Linked DNA regions of Xenopus tropicalis. The protein of the gene in region 1 purifies or fractionates together with the protein of each later gene. This does not show direct contact. Links are inferred from orthologs where the notes say so. Each region holds a gene or a part of one and is shown in the gene's direction. Other genes may lie near its edges. The genes, in order: stx7, snap23, stx8, snap29, vamp4, napa and stx6.

The links.
Region 2: the proteins of stx7 (region 1) and snap23 purify together in Homo sapiens (affinity purification with mass spectrometry; 3 studies listed by BioGRID and IntAct, counting the BioPlex papers as one, with this or other methods). This does not show direct contact. The link is inferred for Xenopus tropicalis from reciprocal best matches to the Homo sapiens genes STX7 and SNAP23.
Region 3: the proteins of stx7 (region 1) and stx8 purify together in Homo sapiens (affinity purification with mass spectrometry; 5 studies listed by BioGRID and IntAct, counting the BioPlex papers as one, with this or other methods). This does not show direct contact. The link is inferred for Xenopus tropicalis from reciprocal best matches to the Homo sapiens genes STX7 and STX8.
Region 4: the proteins of stx7 (region 1) and snap29 purify together in Homo sapiens (affinity purification with mass spectrometry; 3 studies listed by BioGRID and IntAct, counting the BioPlex papers as one, with this or other methods). This does not show direct contact. The link is inferred for Xenopus tropicalis from reciprocal best matches to the Homo sapiens genes STX7 and SNAP29.
Region 5: the proteins of stx7 (region 1) and vamp4 purify together in Homo sapiens (affinity purification with mass spectrometry; 3 studies listed by BioGRID and IntAct, counting the BioPlex papers as one, with this or other methods). This does not show direct contact. The link is inferred for Xenopus tropicalis from reciprocal best matches to the Homo sapiens genes STX7 and VAMP4.
Region 6: the proteins of stx7 (region 1) and napa purify together in Homo sapiens (affinity purification with mass spectrometry; 4 studies listed by BioGRID and IntAct, counting the BioPlex papers as one, with this or other methods). This does not show direct contact. The link is inferred for Xenopus tropicalis from reciprocal best matches to the Homo sapiens genes STX7 and NAPA.
Region 7: the proteins of stx7 (region 1) and stx6 purify together in Homo sapiens (affinity purification with mass spectrometry; 3 studies listed by BioGRID and IntAct, counting the BioPlex papers as one, with this or other methods). This does not show direct contact. The link is inferred for Xenopus tropicalis from reciprocal best matches to the Homo sapiens genes STX7 and STX6.

Annotation. Positions count from the first base shown.
Region 1 is NC_030681.2:70,289,802-70,293,296, reverse strand, and holds part of stx7 (syntaxin-7), read left to right. Parts: intron 1-1,987; coding exon 1,988-2,070; intron 2,071-3,043; coding exon 3,044-3,139; 3' UTR 3,140-3,495. UniProt on the Homo sapiens protein: May be involved in protein trafficking from the plasma membrane to the early endosome (EE) as well as in homotypic fusion of endocytic organelles. Mediates the endocytic trafficking from early endosomes to late endosomes and lysosomes.
Region 2 is NC_030684.2:105,560,974-105,563,556, reverse strand, and holds part of snap23 (synaptosomal-associated protein 23), read left to right. Parts: intron 1-748; coding exon 749-892; intron 893-2,583. UniProt on the Homo sapiens protein: Essential component of the high affinity receptor for the general membrane fusion machinery and an important regulator of transport vesicle docking and fusion.
Region 3 is NC_030686.2:49,420,489-49,423,988, forward strand, and holds part of stx8 (syntaxin-8), read left to right. Parts: intron 1-1,908; coding exon 1,909-2,008; intron 2,009-2,405; coding exon 2,406-2,500; intron 2,501-3,500. UniProt on the Homo sapiens protein: Vesicle trafficking protein that functions in the early secretory pathway, possibly by mediating retrograde transport from cis-Golgi membranes to the ER.
Region 4 is NC_030677.2:153,633,264-153,635,440, reverse strand, and holds the end of snap29 (synaptosomal-associated protein 29), read left to right. Parts: intron 1-881; coding exon 882-1,042; 3' UTR 1,043-1,677; downstream 1,678-2,177. UniProt on the Homo sapiens protein: SNAREs, soluble N-ethylmaleimide-sensitive factor-attachment protein receptors, are essential proteins for fusion of cellular membranes.
Region 5 is NC_030680.2:107,501,334-107,505,340, forward strand, and holds the start of vamp4 (vesicle-associated membrane protein 4), read left to right. Parts: upstream 1-1,207; 5' UTR 1,208-1,227; intron 1,228-3,555; exon of another isoform or gene 3,556-3,661; intron 3,662-4,007. UniProt on the Homo sapiens protein: Involved in the pathway that functions to remove an inhibitor (probably synaptotagmin-4) of calcium-triggered exocytosis during the maturation of secretory granules.
Region 6 is NC_030684.2:79,897,338-79,901,337, forward strand, and holds the start of napa (alpha-soluble NSF attachment protein), read left to right. Parts: upstream 1-1,200; 5' UTR 1,201-1,223; intron 1,224-1,233; exon of another isoform or gene 1,234-1,490; intron 1,491-1,678; 5' UTR 1,679-1,691; coding exon 1,692-1,789; intron 1,790-1,981; coding exon 1,982-2,061; intron 2,062-2,182; coding exon 2,183-2,299; intron 2,300-2,949; coding exon 2,950-2,996; intron 2,997-4,000. UniProt on the Homo sapiens protein: Required for vesicular transport between the endoplasmic reticulum and the Golgi apparatus. Together with GNA12 promotes CDH5 localization to plasma membrane.
Region 7 is NC_030680.2:100,861,717-100,865,216, forward strand, and holds part of stx6 (syntaxin-6), read left to right. Parts: coding exon 1-73; intron 74-1,912; coding exon 1,913-2,007; intron 2,008-3,500. UniProt on the Homo sapiens protein: SNARE promoting movement of transport vesicles to target membranes. Targets endosomes to the trans-Golgi network, and may therefore function in retrograde trafficking.

The DNA of each region.
Region 1 (3,495 bases):
TCAGTGGGCAAAATGCATATAATTGGCATAGTTGCCATTACTGCATTGCAGTTACTGCCAAAATCCAATGCAGCCGCTTCTGGGGAGCTCAAAGAAGAAAAGGGCATAGGCCATAGGGGGGCATAGGCCACAGGGGTTGGCATTTGAGAATGCTTATTTGCTTTCCTTTTTGTTACGACCCAGCTGATTTAGGGCAAGCATTTATTTGCTGGTTAAGAAATTTTTACAGCTGTAGAAGAGGGCTTGAACATAACAGGGCTAGTGTACATCCGCAAGTGCAGTTGCAGTCCCCACAATTCCCCTGCAGTCAGTTACACGTAACTCCATATAATTAAATGTACTTGCATCAAATTGCCTTTGGTGCTGCTCATCCTTCCTGCTTCCCATTTTGAATCATGTTCTGCTGCACCTATTGACACAGGAGAACCCTTGAGCTACTGCCACCTCCTGACCAGGTGGTAGCTCCAGGGTTCCCTTCGTGCCCAGTGTAAATAGGTGCAGTGCACTTGCGACTGAAGAATCCTATGCAGATGTAACTCACACACCAAACACCGGAAATGACAACAGACAGATTTCCACGCAATTGCATCTGATTTGTGGCAAAATGCCCAATTTAATGAATTGGACGCAACTGTGGTTGGTGCAGCACAATTGCATTAAGAGCATCACCACCCACATTGCACTTTGCTTAATGCACTTGCAGAATACATGAGCCCGATCGCTCAAAAACCATTTCCTTACCCCAACATTCTGTCTTATCTTTGGTTTCTGCATTTATTAATTTGACCACTAGAGAGCAGTCAGACATTTAAAAATTACAAGTACAGCTATAACGCAACAAATGCTTCTGTTACCAAATCTAATTTATTATTTATGCTTGTATGTCTGCATACAAGTTTTCTCCTATTTAGTTGTCTTCCAAAGGAAAAGTTTGAAATAGCATCTAAAATGCAGAAAATATATATTTTTGTCTTTAAATACACATTTACATTCTCACTTTTGGGGAGATTTATCAAAATGTGGGATTAGATCTCATCACATTCTTATTCATTCCTTTGGGATTTTTAGAAGTGTATTTATCAAATGGTGAACTCTTACCCACTGATAAATACACTTATTCACCCAATTTCTATGGGATTTAAGATTTCTGTGGCGAGCTTTAATTTTGAATTCAAAACTGCCCCTTTGAGTAAAGTGAAATATATATAAGTGGGGAAAAATGGAATTTTACCCAACGATAGAGAAAATTAACTTTCTTTGTCAAACATTTTCACTTAATGGGCACCTATCACCCTAAATTTGCTTCCCCCACCAAGTGCAGGCTAATAGAGCCCACTCTCTCTGGTTGGCTAAAACAATATTTTTTTTTTTTTTTTAGAAAAAGAATACCAGTTCCCCCCGTGCAATGCGCCCACACTTCAGGAATCACTTTTTACTCTAATCTAGAAGCCATGCATCATAGTTACAGTATATGAATTTTATATAGGGAGACTTTTAAAGGGATGTGATGACACTACTAATATTGCTAACGTAACATACTTAAAGGACTTAGCAAAAAAACAATGTATTTCTGCATCACTGTTAAAATAACTGCACATCTTGTGGATCTTATGTCTCTTGTGGTAGTTTTGTTGTTTATCCAGCGCTAAATATCAATTTGGTGCAACCTTAGGCTGGGCTGCCTGCTCACACCTAACTTTGAGCCTGCTCTCAAGCCACGCCCCATTTTCTTTCCCCTTGCTAGTATTCAAATGAGGAAGCTACACCAATTGAGCAGTCTATAAGTGTTTTGGCCCACATTCTACCACTTAGAACATGCCACTATAGCCCAGGCCTTCCCATATATTCTGCTTCTGCTTATACTTTTCTTATCACTTTCAGCAAAAGCACTGAAGGTTGTTCAATCATGCCCAGGTCACAGACTCGACTCTTGTTAAGCAGGTGCAATTATCTCCTGTGTAATCTGTAATAATGCTTTCTTGTACAGACAGTATAGAAGCCAATGTGGAAAATGCAGATGTCCATGTTCAGCAAGCAAACCAGCAGCTGGCCAGGGCTGCAGAATATCAGGTAGGCTTTGTGTTTGTTTCAAACAGCATTATAATTTGTGGGGCAGTGGCAAATGCCACTTGGAAATTGGAAAAGTGTGACATGGAAAATGCTTTATTTAATTATGGAGATTACCTGTTTTCTCTGTTTTAGGACAAAATAGACTTTTAGTGCTTTGATTGCCACATGGAACACAAGGAAGTATGTCCTGTGGCCCTTCATTTTTCAGCTGTCAGGTTGTGCTGAGAATTATAAGGTGGCCACACACGTGGCGATTTCCGATCTTTTGTGCGACCATCGGTCGCTAACCGTTCAGGGCTGAAACAGCAGATAAGGAGGTAGAAACAATAGGATTTCTACCTCCTTCTGCTGATTCAGCCCTGAAGGCAGATTTTGATCAGGCGCCTGATCAAAATCTTTTAACCCGGCCGATCGGCGAGTCGACCGATATCAGCAGCCTCCTGCGATATCAGTCAACTCGCCGACTTGCCATACACGCACCGAATATCGTACAAAATGGGTTTTCATACGATATTATCGGTGTGTGTGGCCAGCTATAGTTCTGCAACATCTGGAGCACTACTGTTCATATTCAGATCAGTCTAAATTCCCCCTGTCACTCAGTAACCAGTTAAGACCTTTTTTTATGGCTTTGCTTTGCATTACTAAAAGGGGATCCCTAGAATATGCACTCTAAAGGATATGGAAAGAGAGACACAGTGAGAAATGCAAAAAAAAAAACCAAAAAAACCTAGCTTTCTTTTTTGCACATTTTTTTTTTCTCACGATGAACTTTGTCATTTCAGTCATAGTTCTTTATATCTCCAGCATGGAGGACAAACTGTTACGCCCGACAATAAATTGTGCAAATAAGCAGAACTTTGGTGTGCTGACTGAATTATGTTATTTAAGCATTACTTAATATTTTAAGGTAAACCTGTAAATAAATGTAGTTGAAAATAACTGTATATTGCCATTTTTTTGTGTGTTGCAGAGAAAATCCAGGAGGAAGATTTGCATTATTATTGCAGTACTTGTTGTAGCTGCAACAGTCATTGGACTGATTATCTGGGGAGCTGTTAAACACTAATGGTATTTTTACATTTGAAGAAATATTTGTTATCACCTAATTTCTTTACTGCACGAGAAGAAAGGCACATTACTCTAATGATGAAGAAAAATTAATTGAATATCTTTTGCATTGTTATGGCAGTGCTTGCGTTCTTTGGCTATGCTCTATCAAAGATGAGCAAGTGGGGGCTATGCCTTGTTGTACAAAACTGATTGTTGGTTGGGTTTAGGTCTGACAAGGTGCAACCTAGAAAATACAGAGCCCCTGACTTTACAATTTGGGTGAAAATTTGGCTGCAGGAAAAAATCCTCAGCACCCAGTCAGTTGTTTTCTATGCTCTGGTTGCACTAAATGGATTAAGTTGATAATTGGTT
Region 2 (2,583 bases), on another chromosome or scaffold:
TAATTTTCAACTTGTTTTTACCGTGTTTATGTAACAAAAAGGCACGTGATTTTAAGGATTCGGAACTGGTGCGGCCAGGAGCATGGATTCAGCCAAATCCAAATCTATCTTAAAAAATCTCCCAAATCTTGGTGCATTCCTACTCAAAATGCATCAAATAGTGCTGCTAAAAATGCACCCATGCCCCACCTAGTGGTAGGTATAATAACCCTAAAAAGCAAAAATCCAAGTCCAGCTCAGCAAATTCATGACTCCAGTTACATAGGAGAAACAAAAGGTTACTTGGAAGCAGGTCTAATGTGTAGCGCTGGCTCCTTCTGAAAGCTCAGACTCAGGCACAATGCACTGAGATGGCACCTACACACCAATATTACAGCTAAAAAAAAAAAAAAACGTTTTGGTACAAGAATAACATTTTATATGGTAGAGTAAATTATTTGCTGTGTAAACAATGTAATTTATAAATAAATGGATTCTGTCATGATTTTTGTGGTCTCCTTACTCCCCCCTGCCAACTTCTGGGTGTCTCCCCCTTCTCCAGAGACATAACCTATCTGGGAGGTTAGGGAAGGTTCGTATTTTAAATTCAAATTTGATTTTTATTTGAATACAAGTTTCTGGTTCCAGAGGGATATTGCACCTCTGATTTTTTTTTTTTTTTTTGTATCTTGGTGTCATGTTTTTTTAACAATTTCTGAATAGCAGTAGCAATGAATGATCCTGTCTAACAGACTTCACATCTTGGTAGGCCAAAGGATTTCGAGAGTGGGGAAAACTACAAAAAGACTTGGGGCAGTAAAGACAATGACTCAGAAAATGTGATATCAAAGCAACCTCATCAAACAAATGGACAACAGGGTGGAGTGGCACAGAGTGGTCCGTATATTAAGAGGTAAGAGAATATATAAAAGAATATACAATGTTTGATAGAGTAAATTGTATTCCTTACTGCATTTTGGCCATGCAGGAATGTAAAGGTACTAAGATTATATCTTGAATGGATAAGATTAGAAAGTTTGTCCTTAAGAGAAAATACATAAAAATAGCTAAATACCATTATTTTCCTTTTAAAGGAGAAGGAAAGGCTAATAAAGAGTTAATCTCAAGCTGCAGGCATACCTTCAGTTGTCTCAAGTCTCCCCATATTTCTCCCGTTCAGATGATCAGAAGCCAAACAGGAAGAAAAAATGCTGAGCTGTGTATAGAAAGTTCCCATAATGCCTCACCCCTGCACAGACGCCCAGACCAAGTGAACATGCTCTGTTAGTTATGAGTCAGCTTCCTGCTGATTGGCTCAGATTCATATTCCTAAGGGGGGGGATGAGTTCTTAGCATTCTTGAGGGAGGGGGAGCAGGAGAGAGCAGAGAGCGATGTGTCTCTGGCATAGGAAAACAGACACAACTAATATTTTAACAGAAAACTCAGTGCAGCATTTCTGTGAGTGCTTATAGCTGTATTTACATAGACCTTTCTGATAAAGCTTACTTAGTTTTTACCTTTCTTTCTCCTTTAAAACACTTTCGTTTTTACGTAACTGTTCCTTTAACAGTGAAAAAAGTAAAAAGCACAAAAATAGAACAATTACAGATGGTCTCAAACTAACTATTATCCTACTGCTCTTTATTTTCTCCTCATCTCATTCTTTTAGTTTTTTTTCCACTTTTTTATGCAGAAAACACAATATTGGGCTAGGAACCCAATACTTTACAGGGAAATATATTTTAAACCATGCTTTATTATTGGTGACTATTTACTCATTACTATCTAAACTTTAACTGAGCAAAGTGCCCCAGATGTCCTTCAGGCACATGCATATCTTAAAGGTATTCAAGGAATTCATAGGATTAATGTACAACTAAATACAGTAGATTTTGAAGTTTATATAAGTTTGCTGGGAATTATGCCCCCAAAGTCTGAAAGCAATAGAGTTGCCAAATTATTGGCCTGCGTACGGAGCCTTTAGGAGGGCCGCTCAACCAAAATCTTGCTAGTACCTATTGGGTTGATTTCAAATTCCCATTGGGTGAGAATCTTGGCATGTATGGCCATCTTACGTAAGGTAATGAACAGCTACTTGTGTGTATTGGGGGAGGGGGGTGGATTGCAAGTTTGATTCCAACCTGAGCATTGTCTCACTTTATAGATTTCTGGGGAAAGGTTTTTTTTTTCTGTCCAGGCAGAGTAAGTTCCTGGTTAATTGTTTACTGATAAAATTGGCTGTAGTGTATGTTAAGGGTGAAGACACACAGACGGTTATCAGTAAATGATCAGCATTATCTAGCTGCTGCTAGTAGCTCCATGTGTCTTCATGCTAAAACAATAGGGATTGTTGACTGCTAGCTCCACTGGGGCACTGATGTGAGTGATGTATAATCTCTGTAAAGTGCAGTGAAATATGTTGGCACTTTTTAAATAAAAGAATAATAATTATAAGCTCCAAAGGGCCTATCTCTGTAGGCAGAAGACACAGAAATGCCCTGGAAACATTGTAAGGTCACCATATGGCTTACATTTTGCAACATTTTATCTTCCTCATGTTCTTCATATTAATATTTGATCTTTAAAATGAATACAGTAGGTCT
Region 3 (3,500 bases), on another chromosome or scaffold:
GTGGTGCCAGCTGTTGGGGGGCCATCTGTGTGGTTGCCAGGGGTCTAGAGCCAGTCTGTGTGGGTCCAGGCGGTGGGTAGCCATCTGTGTGGTGCCAGCTGGTGGTGCCAGTCTGTGGGTGCCAGGAGAGCCATCTTGGTGGGTGCCAGTCTGTGTGGTGCCAGGGAAGCCAGTCTGTGTGGTGCCAGCTAGTGTGGGTCCAGGGGAAGAGGCCAGTCTTGGAGGTCCGGGTCAGGGTGAAGCCAAAGTCTGTGTGGGTCCAGGGGTCAGGTGAGTGAGGCCAGTCTGTGTGGTGCAGGGTTCAGGTGAGAGGCCGTCTGTATGCGTCCAGGAAGAGCCCAGTCTTTGGGTGCCACAAGGGTCAGTGGTAGATCCAGTCTTGTAGTGCCAGGTGAGAGGACCAGTCTGTGTGGGGCCAGTGTGAGAAGGCAGTCTGTGTTGGTGCCCAGGTCAGGTGAGATGGCCAGTCTGTGTAGGCCAGGTGAAGGCCATCTGTGTGGGTGCCAGGGGTCAGGGTGAGAGGCCAGTCTGTGTGGGTGCCAGGGTCAGGTGAATGCCAGTCTGTGTATCAGGTGACAGGCCTAGTCTGTGTGGTGCCAGCGGTCAGTGAGATGCCGTCTGTGTGCTGTGCCAGGGGGAGAGCCAGTCTGGGGTCCAGGGTCAGGTGAGAGCAAGTCTGGTAGTCCAGGGTTGAGAGCCAGTCTGTGTGGGCCCAGGGTGAGAGGCCAGTCTGTGTGGTGCCAGGTCCAGGGAGATCCAGTCTGTGTAGTGCCAGGTGAGAGCCAGTCTGTGTGTGTGCCAGGAGGTCAGGGGAGAGGCCAGTCTGTGTGTCCAGGGGTCAGGGAAAGGCCAGTCTGTGGTGCCATGGGTTCAGGGGAGAGCCAGTCTGATGTAGTGCCAAGGGTGAGGAGCCAGTCTGTTATCCCCAGGGTGAGAGCCAGTCTGTGGCAGTGCCAGGGCTAGAGGCAGTCTGTGTGGGTGCAGTCAGGTGAAGATGCCAGTCTTGAGTCCAGCGTGAGAGGCCAGTCTGTAGTAGCTGCCAGTGTCAGTGAGAGCCATCTGTGTGTCCACGGGTCAGGGTGAGATGCCAGTCTGTGTAGTGCCCAGTGAGAGGCCATCGTGTGGGTTGCCATGGCAGGGTGAGAGCAGTCTGTGTGATGTGCCAGGGAGAGGCCATCTGTTGTGCCAGGTCAGGTGAGATCCAGTCTGTGTAGTTGCCAGTGGAGAGCCAGTCTGTGTGCGTGCCAGGTGAGACCAGCTGTGTGAGTGCCAGGGTCAGGAGATGCCAGTCTGTGTAGGTGCAGGTAGAGCAGTCTGTTGGTGCCAGAGTCAGGGGGAGACCAGTTCTTGTGGTGCCAGGGGTCAGGGAGAGCCCAAGTCTGTAGTGAGAGGCCAGGGTCAGAAGCCAGTCTGTGTATGCCAGGTGAGAGGCCCAGTCTGTTGGGGGTGCCAGGATCAGGGATGAGCCAGTCGGTGGGTCCAGGGGGAGATTCCAGTCTGTGTGCCCATTACTCTGACCTTCGGCATAGCCCTGCACAGACCCCAGTGAGTGCTGGCTGCGGTGCTGTCGGCCGGGGAGAGAGGTTTTATGCGCGCGATGTAATCACTGCTGTTTGTTATGGAAACACTCACAGGAAGAGGAATTTCAGCCAAATCACCTTTTGTTTTTTCCTTTGGTTTTACAACTGCACGTCGGGCAAAAACATCTTGTTCCCCTCGGGGCACTTTGTTTGCAATAAATCTGCCGTGTTTACCCCTGAGGGGTATTGGGGGTAAATCAGTGCTACAGTAGTGACAGTGCCAAGGCAAGTGGTAGGGCAACTCCCTTGTTACACAGTGTAGCCAGGCCGCTTCTACCCCCCATTGGTGAGTCTCTAGCCACGTAACCTGAGTGTTCCTTGCCCAAAGGTTGGCCACCTACGATGATACATACCAGCTGGCACAGGAGATTGCCGAAAAACTGCACGAGCGGAACCGGTACCTGCGGAATGGAGAAAACCCAGTGAAGGTACAATGTATTTCCTATAGTTTATTTAATTATTTGTTCTGCTTCTTTCCAGCATTCATATGGGGGGGTCACTGACCCAACAGACAATTTCATCTTCCAGTCCCTCATTCACACCCCAGCCTGGTTGCTAGGGTAGGTTGCACCCTAGCAACCCAATACTGCAAAACTGTCAAACCAGAGAGCTCCGGCACAAAAAGATAAATCTTTCTAAAACCATAAAAACCTGTTATTGAAGTTCATTTAAAGGGGAAGCACTCATTATTTCCCTTTTAGGCAATTTTACACAAGACTGAGGTTACTGAGTGCAAATTTCCCCTTTAACAGATGCCTCCCAGCATGCTTTGCTCTGTGCTAATATATATATATACAGTGACTGACTCCCTCCTTTCTCCCCCAGATTAATGTTGCTCTCAGGTCCCTGATGCAGAATCTCAGTGGGAAGATCGGGCAGTTGAAGGAATCGTTGCTCCGGTCGGTATCCACTCGCCAAATGTATCCTTCTCGCTTCGGAGACCGTATAGCCGGGAGCACCGCGCAGTCTGGCACACGGATTGGCTGGTTAAAACCGCATGTCATTAATAGAACTTACTCTCCCCCTGATACTTTCCCTTTAATTCTGCTTTTCCCATGTAATTGTCCTTTATGGATTTCATTTTACAACTCCCCGCACCTTCACTGGCACAGAATGTGGCGCCATGCCCAGGTCTTGTAACCCTAGTCAGGTATTGGGGCGGCCCTGTAACCCTAGTCAGGTATTGGGGCTGCCCTGTAACCCTAGTCAGGTATTGGGGCTGCCCTGTAACCCTAGTCAGGTATTGGGGCGGCCCTGTAACCCTAGTCAGGTATTGGGGCGGCCCTGTAACCCTAGTCAGGTATTGGGGCGGCCCCGTAACCCTAGTCAGGTATTGGGGCTGCCCTGTAACCCTAGTCAGGTATAGGGGCTGCCCTGTAACCCTAGTCAGGTATTGGGCGGCCCTGTAACCTAGTCAGCTTATAGGGGGGGCCCTGTAACCCTAGTCAGGTATAGGGGCTGCCCTGTAACCCTAGTCAGGTATTGGGGCGGCCCTGTAACCCTAGTCAGGTATTGGGGCGGCCCTGTAACCCTAGTCAGGTATTGGGGCGGCCCTGTAACCCTAGTCAGGTATTGGGGCGGCCCTGTAACCCTAGTCAGGTATTGGGCGGCCCCGTAACCCTAGTCAGGTATTGGGGCGGCCCTGTAACCCTAGTCAGGTATTGGGGCGGCCCCGTAACCTAGTCAGGATTGGGGCGGCCCTGTAACCCTAGTCAGGTATTGGGGCTGCCCTGTAACCCTATGGGGCTGCCCTGTAACCCTAGTCAGTATTGGGGCTGCCCTGTAACCCTAGTCAGGTATTGGGGCGGCCCTGTAACCCTAGTCAGGTATTGGGGCCCTGTAACCCTAGTCAGTATTGGGGCGGCCCCGTAACCCTAGTCAGGTATTGGGGCTGCCCGTAAACCCTAGTCAGGTATTGGG
Region 4 (2,177 bases), on another chromosome or scaffold:
TATAGGCTCTGAGGATCATTAACTACCAATCCTACATTTACTATTATCAGTATTACAATTGCTTTTTAAATTACTGAAATGTGTGCCTTTGCCCTAATGGGGTAACCCAGTGTCTTTTTACATAATAACACTGAAAGGATTTGTGTGGTATAAGACTGGGAGTGAAATAATAAGAGAGCTGCTCTTCAAATACCCCTTTGGCCTGTCTACAAAACCATTATGACTGCTAAAGTGATACTGACACGAAAAAAAAACTTTTTAAAATATAAATCTACATAAAAAGTTGCCTATAGGTCGTGTTGATCATTTTTTACTGATAGGGCTGCTTTTGTAAGTAATTGTTACTTGAAATCCCAAAACCTGACTGTTTTGCCAGCCTGACTGTCCCTTCTCAGCCTGTCAGTTATAGCTTCTAATGCTAACGGCCTCCTGCTGGACAAATATGGCCGCCCCCTCATAGAGGAACATGGGGGATCAGATAGGGAATGTAAAAGCTTGGACAAATACTTTTATGGCAAAATTATAAATAGCATGCAAAGACAATGTTATGACAGATGTAAAAATAATTTCATTTCTGGTGTCAGTATCTCTTAACAAATACTTCCTGTTTTGGCATATCTTTCATAAACAGTTTGGAGGATTGCGACTCTAATTACCAACCAACTAATCACATTAAGAATCTATTGGGAAAGAAATAGGCTCCCAACAGATTTTAATGACTGATTCTAGGCATCAAGGCTACCATTTATAGATGACCTGGTTAAAGCTAAATGACAAGGTGTAACCCATACACCGTATTTTTTTTTTCCATACCTACTAATATTGCTGCATTTTAAAAATAATAATACTAATCCTAAGGTTGTGTTATTCCTTTCTTCCAGATGACATGTCTTTAGGTTTGGGTCGCCTGAAAAACCTTGCACTAGGACTTCAGACAGAAATCGATGACCAGGATGAGATGCTTGGGCGCCTAACTGGCAAAGTAGATAAGATGGACTTAAACATCAAGACTACAGACAAGCGGATTCGCGAAGAGCTATAAAAGACAAATTTCAGACTTGACCAAGACCGACTCTTGAGTTTTATTCTTGTGGTTTTTATAATGTTATGCAGTTTTTTTTTTTTTTGTTTTTTTTTATACTGGGACATAAATATCCCACACATCCCTATCTGAATCTTATATCTTCTGTATAACTATACATTACATTCGTTAGCATTAAATGTAGATGATGTTTTGCAGTATTATTACTAATATAGATCCTTATTAAGATATAAAAATGAATTGTCTTACTATTGGAATTGTATTGTAGTGATTGGCAGTTTGTTATAGCTCTGGATCTGAATAAAGTATTTGAGTTCATTTGCTAGGTATTACCTTACTGCTATATGACAGAATAGACATATGAACATGCCTTTATTAAAACTGCAATATTTTACACATGCTCGTAACATAGGGTTTAATGGGCCCTGCCATATGCCACTTTCTTATTACCCTTATTATTTTAATCTAGTGTTCTGAAACTTTGTGTATAAATATGTTTATAAATTTATGTGACACTCCCGTAAACCATACTGTGAATATTTTATCAGTTTACTTGTTAAGTTAAAAAAAAAAGCCTAATAATCTTGCCTGTTATTATTTTAACTAACTTGTTTAATATATTATTTGCTTTCTGATTTTGTGCCATTTGTCTTCTTTAGACAAATTTGAGTCTGTAGACTTGTTTCTCTGCCTGACATTTCAGATAATTTATTCATACTCCCTTATACTTATTAAATGTTTTGGACATAGTAATCCTTATTTCCCCTTTTGTATTATTAGCACACTTGGGCATATTTTAAAGCTGTGTAAAATATTACATGAGCAATAACACCATGCACCCTTGTAACTATCAATTACAAAGTTGTAATCATAATCAAAACGGGGCACATGTGCTTCAGATAAAATCAGTGGTAAAGAATTTATAGCAGCTGTTGAAGGCAAATGTGCCTAGCTTTTTAGTAGCTGTACATTAACATATATACTGTATATCTTTAAGCAGTACAAGCTATGATAACATCTGAGCCTGTGTTTCACTGTCAAATGCATATATGTTTGAGGGCGTGTTTAAAAAGGCCACTTTGCATACTAGACTGAGAAGTAGCACAATAATCTTGTACAGCAGCATTTTTACCTA
Region 5 (4,007 bases), on another chromosome or scaffold:
CCCATAGGGCTCAATGGCACTCTGCAGCTCCAACCCGACCCAAGGAAAGTCACGATACTGAAGCTTGAATGAATCCGAAACTTTCGTACTCGGCGCAACGGCTACGAAAAATCGCAACAATTCACGCAAGTCGTAACGCTACGAAAAAGTCGCGACAATTTGCGAAAAAGTCATAACGGCTACGAAAAAGTCGTGACAACTTACGAAAAAAATTGCAAAATACCGATCATTACGAAAAAAAGCATTCGGACGCTTTTCGGACGTTCGTGGATTAGTAAATGTGCCCCAAGGTGTTATAAATACACACAAGCAAACACATAACCTTGCACTAGGAGTAAGTGCCCTACAAAGGGACCAATAAACCCTATCTATGTAAATGTCTACTCTACAGTATAAGGGCAGTGGTACTTGGGGAGATTAGTCACCCCGCGACAAATCTTTGTTGTCGCGGGCGACTAATCTCCCCACAATGCCATCCCACCGGCTAGAATGGGTGGGATGGCACTGTGGGGAGATTAGTTGCCCACGACAACGAAGACGATACTACTTCAAATCGCTTAACGCTCTGAATCGATATGAGACCCTTTTTTGAGTGATTTTACAAAGAAAGCAATGTCATTAAAAACTACTGGAATCGCTGAAAGTAAAACCCACTGATGGAAGCTGCTGCGATTTCCCCATTGCACTGAATATAATTTCTAATTGTGGAATATGACACTTGGATTTGTGGGAAATAGAATTGCTCCATTGTTGTAATCGCTTGTTAGGAAAAGACAAGTGACTTGTTAAAAGCGACTCACTTTTTAAAAATCACAGCGACTAAATCTCCCCATGGGATATTAGCCTAAGAAAGAGACAATTTAAAATAAAATGAAAGAGCAAATATTTGTTCAATACTAAAAATAATGACAACATTTCTTTAATGTCTCTATTTCATCTTAAAAGATGTAATTAATACTTAAAAAAACATTTTGTACGGCGTTAATGAATACAAACAACGTCAAATCATTAATTTCAGTCCTACAATGGTGCTGGCAGGCTGGCTTCACACTGTGCCAGTGCGCTTGCGCATTGTGAGAACGCCGAACTCTAGATCATTCAGAGGGTTAAAGGGAACAGGACGGTGAATCGCGTTTCGAGCGATGGATGGTTTACAGTCAGCTGGAGCGCCATGTTAGCCAGTGAATAAGCTTAGAGCTGAGCATCGCTGGAGTCTCATCCGAACAGGTACAGGTCTGCCGCATCGGCTCTAGTTGGGAGGGATTCCCCCAATAGTGAACCGTCCGAATATATTACAGCTGCCAGTTTGTCTTGTGACAGTCACAGGCGGTGAGGAAGATGGCTCGGTCTTATTGTCTTCTTGTCAGTGGTTCCTCTTTACAAATCCCAGTGTTTGTGTTACTGTACTAAATACGAATTGCTACACACTTATGGCCACCTATTGCTTTACTTGTTAATTTATCTTCTATGTGTGTGTGTATGTATGTATATATATAATATATATATATATTATACACACACACAGTACTCAAGCCATGAATATCCAGTAAATTGATAGTGATAATCAGTGCTTAGTTCTAAAATTTGTGTCTTGCTGCGTTGTGCCACTATATGGTCATGAAACCTCCCATAACCTCTGATATCTTTATCATGTACAATAGAGGGTACATATATAGTCTCATTGACTGTCATAAGGATGATCTTGATGACAACTTTGTATAGATTGGAACACGTAGAACTTTTAAAGGGGTTGTTCACCTTAAAATTAACTTTTAAGTATGACGTGGAGATTTATATTTGCATTTGGTCTTAATTTTTATTATTTACGGTTTTTTAATTAATTTGCTTTTTGCGAAGCAACTCTTCAGTTTGGAGTTTCAGCACCTATCTGGTTGCTTTGATCTTAGTTACCCTAGTAACCAGGCAGTGGTTTGAATTAGAGACTGGAATATGAACAGGAGAGAACGTAACTAGGAAGATAAGTAATGAAGAGAATGACAATAAAATTGTAGCCTCACAGAGCAATAGTTTTTGACAGACAGGGTCAGTGACAGGCCCGGACTGACGATATGTGGATTCTGGTAAATTCCAGAGGGGCTGCTGTAAGATACCATAGACAGTCACTATTGGGCTGGTGGGGGCTGTTTGGGCCTTTTGTGTACTTGAATTGGCCAGGCCTATTTTGAATCCCAGATCAGACCTGGTCAGTGACCCCCATTTGGAAGCTTTAGAAGAAGAAGCCAAATAATTCAAAAACGATACAAAATAACAAATGAAGACCAGCTGAAAAGTTGCCAAGTATTGATCATTTTATAACATAATAAAAGTTAACTTGAGGTGAATCACTCTTTAACTTCACTGGATTACTTAAATAACATGCAAAAATAAGTGCTTTTGTATTGTGACTGTATATAGTAAGCATCCGGCTGGATACTTCAGAATTATTGGAGTGTGTCTGGATGGGATGGAGATAAATAAAATGTTAGGCACCCCCATTGATTGTAATCATTTACCTGATACCCCAGCCGGTGCTCCTGTTTGGAGAAAACTGCAGTGGCCTTGGGTATATGTGAGCGAGTGTTCCTTTTCCTTTTATCTTCTTTCTTCGGAATCCAGGGGCCGAAGCATGCTCAGTTGAATGAAAAAGCCAGCTATTTTGTTAAAGCCGGCTTTTTACTCTACTGCACATGTGCAAAGAAGAAGGAACGCTCGCTCGCATACACCCTGGCCACTGCAGTTTTCTCCAAACAGGAGCACCGGCTGGGGGTTTCAAGTAAGCGATTGAAGTCACTGAGGGGAGGGGGGCTGCCTAACATTTTGGCACCCCCAAGTGATTGTAACTTTCCTTCTCCTTTAGGGCCGTGGCAGACGGGGAGATTATTCGCCTGCAACAAATCTCCCTTGTCGCGGGCGACTAATCACCCCGATATGCCACCCCATCGGCTTAAATGTCAATCGCCGGTGGTATGGCATATGCGGTGCCGCAATTTCCCAAAATTGCGGAAGTTTCCTCTCAAGGCAAACTTAAGGCCCTTAATGTTCATAATTGCGGTAGCACCTTATTCAGGCGCCGAAAATGCAGTACAGAGAAAAATAGCTTTTATAGGCCCCTTTCCTTAGCACCAGCTCCAGAGCAGAGCAGAACAGGACAGAGCCTCGGGTAATACATTTTTGAACAGTAGAATGCAAGAATTATTTTTTAGGTTTTTGCTGAACTCGCAGCTATGTTCTTGCCCCTGTGTATAATTCTACATTGTGTTCTTTTTCCTTGTAAATGCAGAATCATGGTGTAATGGGGTGGGGTGGGGGGGGGGGGGGTTGTTAGCTCTGGAAGGAAATGTATATGTGAATATTTTCATTTCTTTTTATGTAACTGGCAGTTTAGTCTGCTTTTTTCTTTATATGCCAAATATTAGCCAAGACTTAAGACTTATTATCTTTATTATTTTGTGTCCCTGGCAGTTTATTATTGGCAGCTTGTATTTTTAATTTCAAACCTAGTTGGTTGAGAAAGAAAAAAGCAGCTCTTTGTTTTATATTTATTGACCAGGTTTTAGGGGCAGCTGGGTCTCTTCATCAGACATTCCTTTAAACCATGGAGAATTATCTGTTTCAGCCAATAAAATAACCATATAAATGCCAGTATTTCCCTTTCGAAAAGGTGAGACAGTTATTCCAAAAATGCTTATATATCATGCATGTTAAGCAATCCTGCCCAGTGCACAAAGGTTTCCATCACTGTGCAGATTCTTTGTCCTATAATAGTTAATTGGAAATTATGTAGAAATAACCTGTATATGTGTGCATGGGAACTAAAGTTCTCAGCCCTTAATTTCAGCAAGAAAAAAAAATCACTAGTTTGTCAGTGCATAACATTTCTGTAAAACTTCTCAAGTCCAAATGTAATAAATAATACCTCCAGATTACATGGGCATAATGTTTACCCTAGAATGCGCCAATTCCTTAATTTTGGGGTTTTTTTCTTAAAGGTAATCACATGTTGTGGG
Region 6 (4,000 bases), on another chromosome or scaffold:
TACTTACTGCTCCTTTTTTAAAAAAAATAAGCTTGGTGAGTCCCTGACTGTAACAAAGGTGTTTATTAATAATGAATATTAATTATTTATTAAGAATTAATAAACACTTGTTACAGTCAGGGACTCACCAAGCTTATTTTTTTTAAAAAAGGAGCAGTAAGTAGAGCTTGTACAGTAGTAGATAAAGGCACAGCAGCACCAGCGTAACTTTTGTGACCCACGACCTGAGCAGCACCAGCACCCACAACAAATAAAAAAGTGCAGGAAGAAGCTGTGAAGATCCAAAGACAGCAGTGACAGAAGGAGCCAAGGAAACCCAAAGGAAGACAAAAAGACCTGAAGACGAGCAGGACACTTAAAAGACACAGCAGGACATTTCAGTAAGTATCTGGGACAGCGGGACAATGTGCAAAAATGGGACATCTGGGGGTGTGGCCATATAGTGGGCGTGGTCAAGAAAAATTTCGCCGCGCTTAGCGCTGCAAAATATTTTGTCCCTCTTTTTCATTTTCAAATGTTGGGAGGTATGAGCAGTTTATATTAAACTCATTGCCAGGCACGTTAAGCAGTTTGGGTTATTCTTTACTGCCTTTCCTTAACTTGGCCTTCAGGTCATTAGTAAAGTATATAGTTGGTGGTGCACCAATAAGCAAAAAAAACTGTTTCCTGGACCTTTAACCTCTACCGCATTTATGCTTAGAGAGCAGAGAATGGTAACATGGAGTTACTGTAATAAGCAGTATTAGCTGAATCAGAACAAAGGCTGCCCCCTTACTAATAATGTTAACGCCAGGGTAGTAAAAATGATGCCTCGTTCCAAACATTGCCAATAGCGAGGCAAAAAGCTAAAAACAAACAAACCCGGAAGACCACTGTTTTTTTTAATATGAAATGCAACACTACACGAAGATAAGGACAACTAAAACATAAAAAAGATCATATGTAAAAAAATGATAATGTAATAGAAAACAACGCACTACAGTCTGTATTATTTTTAAAAAGGAGTACACATCTTTCCCTTTAAATGCCGCTCAGAAAAAGCCTAACTACATCTTCTGACTGTGTCTAGGCGGATGTGAATGCTAACGTTTGGTCACGTGGCACGGATATTGGCGGAAACAGAATAATCATGTGTTCTGCGGGCGGAAGTTTTGCTGTCACTGAAGCATAGCTGCTGATCCGGAGAAATACTAAGCGCAGTCATTATTTGCCTGCAAAATCAGGTCAGCGTCCCGCACACTGTTACAATTCTTTCCCTTCTGCTTGCCCTATTCTTCTGCTCTCTGATTCCCGATTATCTCCCTCGGCCGTCTCTCGGTTCAAGGGTTTTTGATCCCTGGCCTCTGCCTCCTGTTTGTCTCTATCCGCGAGTATCCTCGTATTACTAGCTCGTCGGCTTTCTACGAGGCCTTTCACTCATTTGCAGAGCTTTTTCTTGGCTGCCTGCCTCCTAGTTCTGGTTAGCGCTCTGAATCGGCTAACATCTTGCGGTAATAGAAAAACTTTAATAGATTAACTACTTTCCTAAAATGTAATTCCAGGCCCATGTTACAATGGCTGATTCTATGGTCTCTGATCTAATACCGGGGAATTTTTCTGAATTTATAGATATTTTCTTTTTTATAATTTATATTGGCATCTATTTTCCATATTTTCTGATTGTTATTATCATTGACAGGCCCCATTCAACCATGGATAACTCTGGGAAGGAGAAGGAGGCTCTGCAGCTTCTGGCTGAGGCTGACAAGAAGGTGAAGTCATCGCAGTCATTCTTTTCAGGGCTGTTTGGGTAAGTGAATTAGAAATAATTACATGGTAACAGGGCAAAATCTGTTTCTGACCAAAAGCATTGAACTGTCACTAGTGTTAGTAATATTAAGCATTTACAACGCTGTAGCTGTCACTACACAAAGCATTTTACATTTTGTTAATCTTATAACTTGAATAGTGTGTAATCTTTGTCTGTTTGTCTGCATTTAAGAGGCTCCTCTAAAATGGAAGAAGCATGCGACCTCTATGCCAGGGCTGCCAACATGTTTAAGATGGCCAAGAACTGGAGTGGTAGGTAGTATGTAATCTGTAAAATCATTTGTAACAAACTTTCCATATATCCATATATAGGTATATAGATATTTATACTCCTCGGAATAGTGCAATAAGATGCTCTTCTTCTTTTTCCCAGCTGCTGGCAATGCCTTCTGCCAGGCTGCCCAGATCCATCTTCAGGTTCAAAGCAAGCATGATGCAGCCACTAACTTTGTGGATGCTGGAAATGCATTCAAGAAATCTGACCCCCAGGGTAAGAGAGGTCCTAGTTGTCTCTTGAATGAGTCTTTTTTTTTTTCAAAGTTATCTATCAATAACTGTTTGTACCAGCACCCAGTGTTCCCCTTTGATTTGTTTTCGGTCATATGCACAAAGATAACATATTTATATCAGTTATGTGCACAGAAATGTGGGTTGTTGTAATAACTAAGTGTAAATAAGTGTTTTGCACAAAAGTGTTTTTTGTCTATTGTGGCAATACCCCCACAATGATAGCTCCAAGAAGAATAAAATGCAGAGACCCCCCTCCTCCCCCGTCTTGATGCTCCTGAATACAGTGCTCCTCACCTGTAACTGTTAATAATAGACAAAATAGACCGGTGTGATTTGCAGCATTTTTTTACTATCAAAGCAATCCTAGCACTGGTCGCCAAATGCAAACAGGCACATTTCAAGCTGATCTGATATTGTCTTGACCAGAGAATGCCATGCACAGCCAGGCACATGAATATATTCTTATATATTCATCTTGAATATGAAATGCCAGGTGATTTTAGGCCTTATTTTATTAGAGGTATTTTATTAAATGAAATAAAGGCTTTTCTGCAAGAATACATAAAGCAATGCTTAACTTTTTCAATAATAACTTTGATAAATGATCACAAGTATCTATATTGTTTTCAGAGGCAATTAACTGTCTGCTTCGAGCAATAGAGATCTACACTGACATGGTAAGGACAATTTCAAACTATCTTCCGCTTTTTTTTGGTCTTTATCACTTCTTAAGTTGACCACAAACAGAGTGACAATGCGAATATGGCTAAAAGAACGCAAGATGTTTAGTAAGATATTTGTTGACTAAGGATCAAGGTGTGTTTAAATGCAGTTTGTAGAGAATGATACATATGTGTTTGGGAAATGGGCAATAGAATTGTTATGGAAACAAGTGGGTTTTTTTTTAGTCAGAAAGTAGCAGGGAACAAAAAAAATGCTCTTCTAATGAATGTTCGGATATCGATCATACGTTTAAATGCAACGATCTAAAACTAACATTCAGACTGAAATTGTAGGATAAAGCTCTAAAAATAAATTGGAGGATGTTCTGAACATGAAATAGTAGGCAGACATCAATAATGCAAAAGTGAGGGCAGGCAGTACCCTTCTGAACAAACTCTATGCCAGGTGGCAACAGGATCTCCCCCACATTACACTTGAACTGTGGGAGGAGGTGTTGGAGTCAACCTTTGATGCTGTAATTAGGGATACACCCCACCGTTACAAATATTAAACCAGGAGCTCCCACAAGAGTGCCCCAGATGTCGTTTTTCACCATCTGACTTTATCCAGCTGTTGTGGCCTGTGTGCAGCACTTCTGGGAGGAAGTGGCAAAATATATACCCGGTAGAATGGATATCTGGTATATGCTCAGTCAGGTTCAAGAGCTGTCCCCCCTCATAGAGAAAAAAAAAATGTAAATGTCCATTTTATGTATGTATGCAAAAAAAAAAAAAAAAAAACCCACAGAAAAATTGCACAATTCTTAAAGACACCTGGTGGGCCAACTGTGGCAGCATGAGAAGCTATGGTGGAGGGAGCCATTCCCCTGTATCCCCTGCATAGGCGGTCCTCAAAGATTTGATGTTTGTTGTTGGGTTTTATGTTGAATTTTCTTGTTTATGTTTAGGTTTATTGTAAAATGAGCATCCTATTCATCTGGTTTTTTTTATGATGTTGC
Region 7 (3,500 bases), on another chromosome or scaffold:
TTGTGTCAGGCAGCATTGGTGTCCTTAAGAACATGTCCCAGCGTATTGGCAGTGAGTTGGATGAACAAGCCGTGTAAGTGTTATAGAAAAATCACAGAGAGGCGGGGTATAACACCTCGGATACATAAGGAAAGAAACGGTGAAACTATGTCCTTGGATTGCATAAATAATATGGGACACTAAATGAGCAAAGTTAATTTTCTTTTTCACTTACTTTCACCACCAGGTGGATCATTTAGTGGCATAGGTGCATGTTGTGCCATGACTGTAAGCCAGAGTAGCCAATTGGCAATAATGGGAATCGCTGGTGGGGAAACATATGTGGCTCAGCTACTTTCTGAAGGAGCCCAAAGTTGCCACGAGCAGCGGCGGATTTCTACTGGGGGTGCCCCAAGGCCCCCCCCGCCACGAGAACGCGCATGCGCGCACAAGCCCCACCCCCCCACGAACGCTAATACGCATGCGCCAAACTTAGAACTCCCATACGGAGCAGTGGGGAGATGTCCCCATTGCTCCGTATGGGAGCAAAATTTTAAAATTTGCCTGCGGCGGAGCGGCATGCCGCCCCTGTGTATGTGCCGCCCTTGGCCCGGGCCTTTGTGGCTTCACCACAAATCCGGGCCTGGCCAGGAGAGGCAACTTTAGGCTACTTCGCAAAACCGAAACTTCTCATATGCTTTCCCACCAGCAATTTATATTATTGCCTGTGGGGAAACATATGCAGGAGATAAGTCGCCCTCAGTAGAGAAGATCTATCACAGGCAGCTAATCACCTATTGTGTTATTGCCCTTTAAAGGGAAAATCAGGGCAATGCGGGAAATTAGCTCTTTTGTTATGTAAAATCTGTCACAACTTGTCCCATCCTTCCTCGGGCAAAATGCTGATGCACAGAATTGACACTAAGTTTGCACACACACCTATGCTAAAGATGTTCAAATTCACCTATTTTACAACTTCGCTTTTATCAGATTACCATACATTGCCTGTGTTAAATAGGGTATTTATTTATATTTTGTTTTTTTTTAAAAAAAAGTAATGGCTTGGATACCACTAGTATTTAGTGGCATTTCCTTTACATTTTTTAACTTGATTCAAACTCTTAGGGTAGCCTTCCACAAGCTTCTCACAACATATTGCTGGAATGTTTGCCCATTCCTTCTGACAGAACTGGCATAAGTGGGCCTTATTGATCTAACACTATTTTTCCTGTCCAATCACAAGTTTTTAATGGGATTCAGGTGGGGGCTTTGTTATGGCCATTCCAATACTTTCACTTTGCCTTTAGGCAGGCTATTTGGTTACAACTTTGGAGGTATGCTTTGGATCATTGTCATGCTGAAAGACAAAGTTGTGACCAAGCTTAAGTTCTGGCTGATGTGTTAAGGTGTTGCTACAAAATTTCTACATAACCCATTTTTTTCATAATGCCATTTATTTTCTGGAGTGCATTAGTCAATTTCCCAGCAAGAAAAAATAAACAAAACCCCAAAGCGTTATGCTGCCACCCCTGTGTTTCACAGTTGGAATGGTTCTTCAGGTTAACCTTCCTCCATGCATAGCGATGATCATTATGGCCAAGTTCTATTTTTGTTGTATCTAACAGGAGAACCCTTCTTTGTCCTGGTAAGGATCTTTAAATTTCAGACTGGCTTTTTTATCCTTGCCTATGAGTAGAGGACCCTCAGAGGGGTATGACAGTTAACCAAATGGTGCAATTATGTCTGTTTTGAGCAGTAACTTCATGGCTGGGCTTTACGTTAACAGTCAGAAACTTTCAATTTGCAACAGTTTTACAGTTTAACACCAGAATTCAATTGATATTTTTTTTTTTTATAGACACTGTTCTAATTTATACAGTATATAATGTGTTTCCTTTTATCTAATAAAGTTGCTTCTTAATTACCTTTGTAGAATGTTGGATGACTTTTCCCATGAACTGGATACTGCTCAGTCCCGCATGGATAATGTTCTTAAGAAATTAGCAAAGGTATCTCACATGACTAGTGGTGAGTATGAGCCATTTTGTTATGTTTTAGCAAGTAGACGCTCCTGTCAGGAGATATGTAGCAATACTGGGTGTGGCTCATCCTTGTAATTAGTTTTAGTAAACTTGTTTGCATTTTGGTCAAGAACAGAGTCAAGGTTAAGGTTTAAATGAAACCATCTGTTGGGATCCCACACGAAGTTTGTAATGCTCAGTCCATTATATGATTGCACAAGAAGTGATTACTGTTGAAAAAAAATGCCAGAACTGGCCTGTGACCAACATACTCAACACCATTTGCTAATCTTGAGTAGGATGGGGCCACACCTGTCAAGAACTTCAGTTTGCTGGCCCTCATTATATAGAGTGATCTGATTAGTACAGTTTGTCCAGCCATAGTAATAGGAAATGACAGCCAAAAGTCACCATCAGGAAAAGAATGCTGATTCAGTTTTAAAAAGAGTATTGGGGTGATTATGAAGCACTTTTCTTACACCCTAACACCTATAGGTGATATTATGTCACAGATATTCAAAGGAGAACTCTTCACTTGTATTGGATTTTTAGGGGCTTTATTGTTAAAGGCAGTATACCTCCTTGTTCAACATGAGTTCAATGAATAGGGCTTGTGATGAACATACTTTTTATCTGTTGTTTTAAACACAAAAATCTATTGTTTTTGTTATATCTTGAGCTAGACAGGGAGACTGGAGCTTTTTAGGGCTCTGGCACACGGGGGAGATTAGTCGCCCGCGATTAACTCCCTGTTCGCGGGCGACTAATCTCCCCCGTGTGCCAGAGCCCTTAATGTTTGTTCCTTGCAAGTTAAATAATTAGATTACCGGTGCATGGATAAACACCCTGCATAATGGACTCCTGCTAACAAAACAGTCACAACAGTTTGTGAAGGGAGTGGATTGTATACTGGTAATCTAATTGTGTCTTGAGAGGTTGTGTCTGCACTATTTAACTCAAGAAATAGCAAAACAACATGGATTTTTTGAGATTCAGACAATAGGCGTATCTTAAGCACCAACCCTATTCTTTGCACTAATGTTGAACAAGGGGAGTAGTACCCCTTTAAGGGTGAAAACACACTGAGCTACTAGTAGCAGCTTTTTCACGACTTCTAGACTTCAGAAAATACCTTGCCATAGACAATACTGAGAATTGCCTCTGCTAAAACACATAGAGACAATTATCAGTAAATGATCAGCATTGTCTATATTAGTAGCTGCTACTAGTAGCTCTGTGTGTCTTCACCCTAAGGGCCATGACATACGGGGAGATAAGTCGCGTTGCAAAACAAATCTGTTGTCGTGGGCGACTAATCTCCCCGCAATGCCATCCCACCGGCTAGAAAGTAAATCGCCGGTGGTATGGCATACGCGGCGCCGCGATTTACTGAAGTTGCCTTGAGAGGACACTTCGGCGACTTCAGCAAATCACGGCACTGCGTATGCCATACCACCCGCAATTTACATCCTAGCCAGTGGGATGGAATTGCAGGGAGAT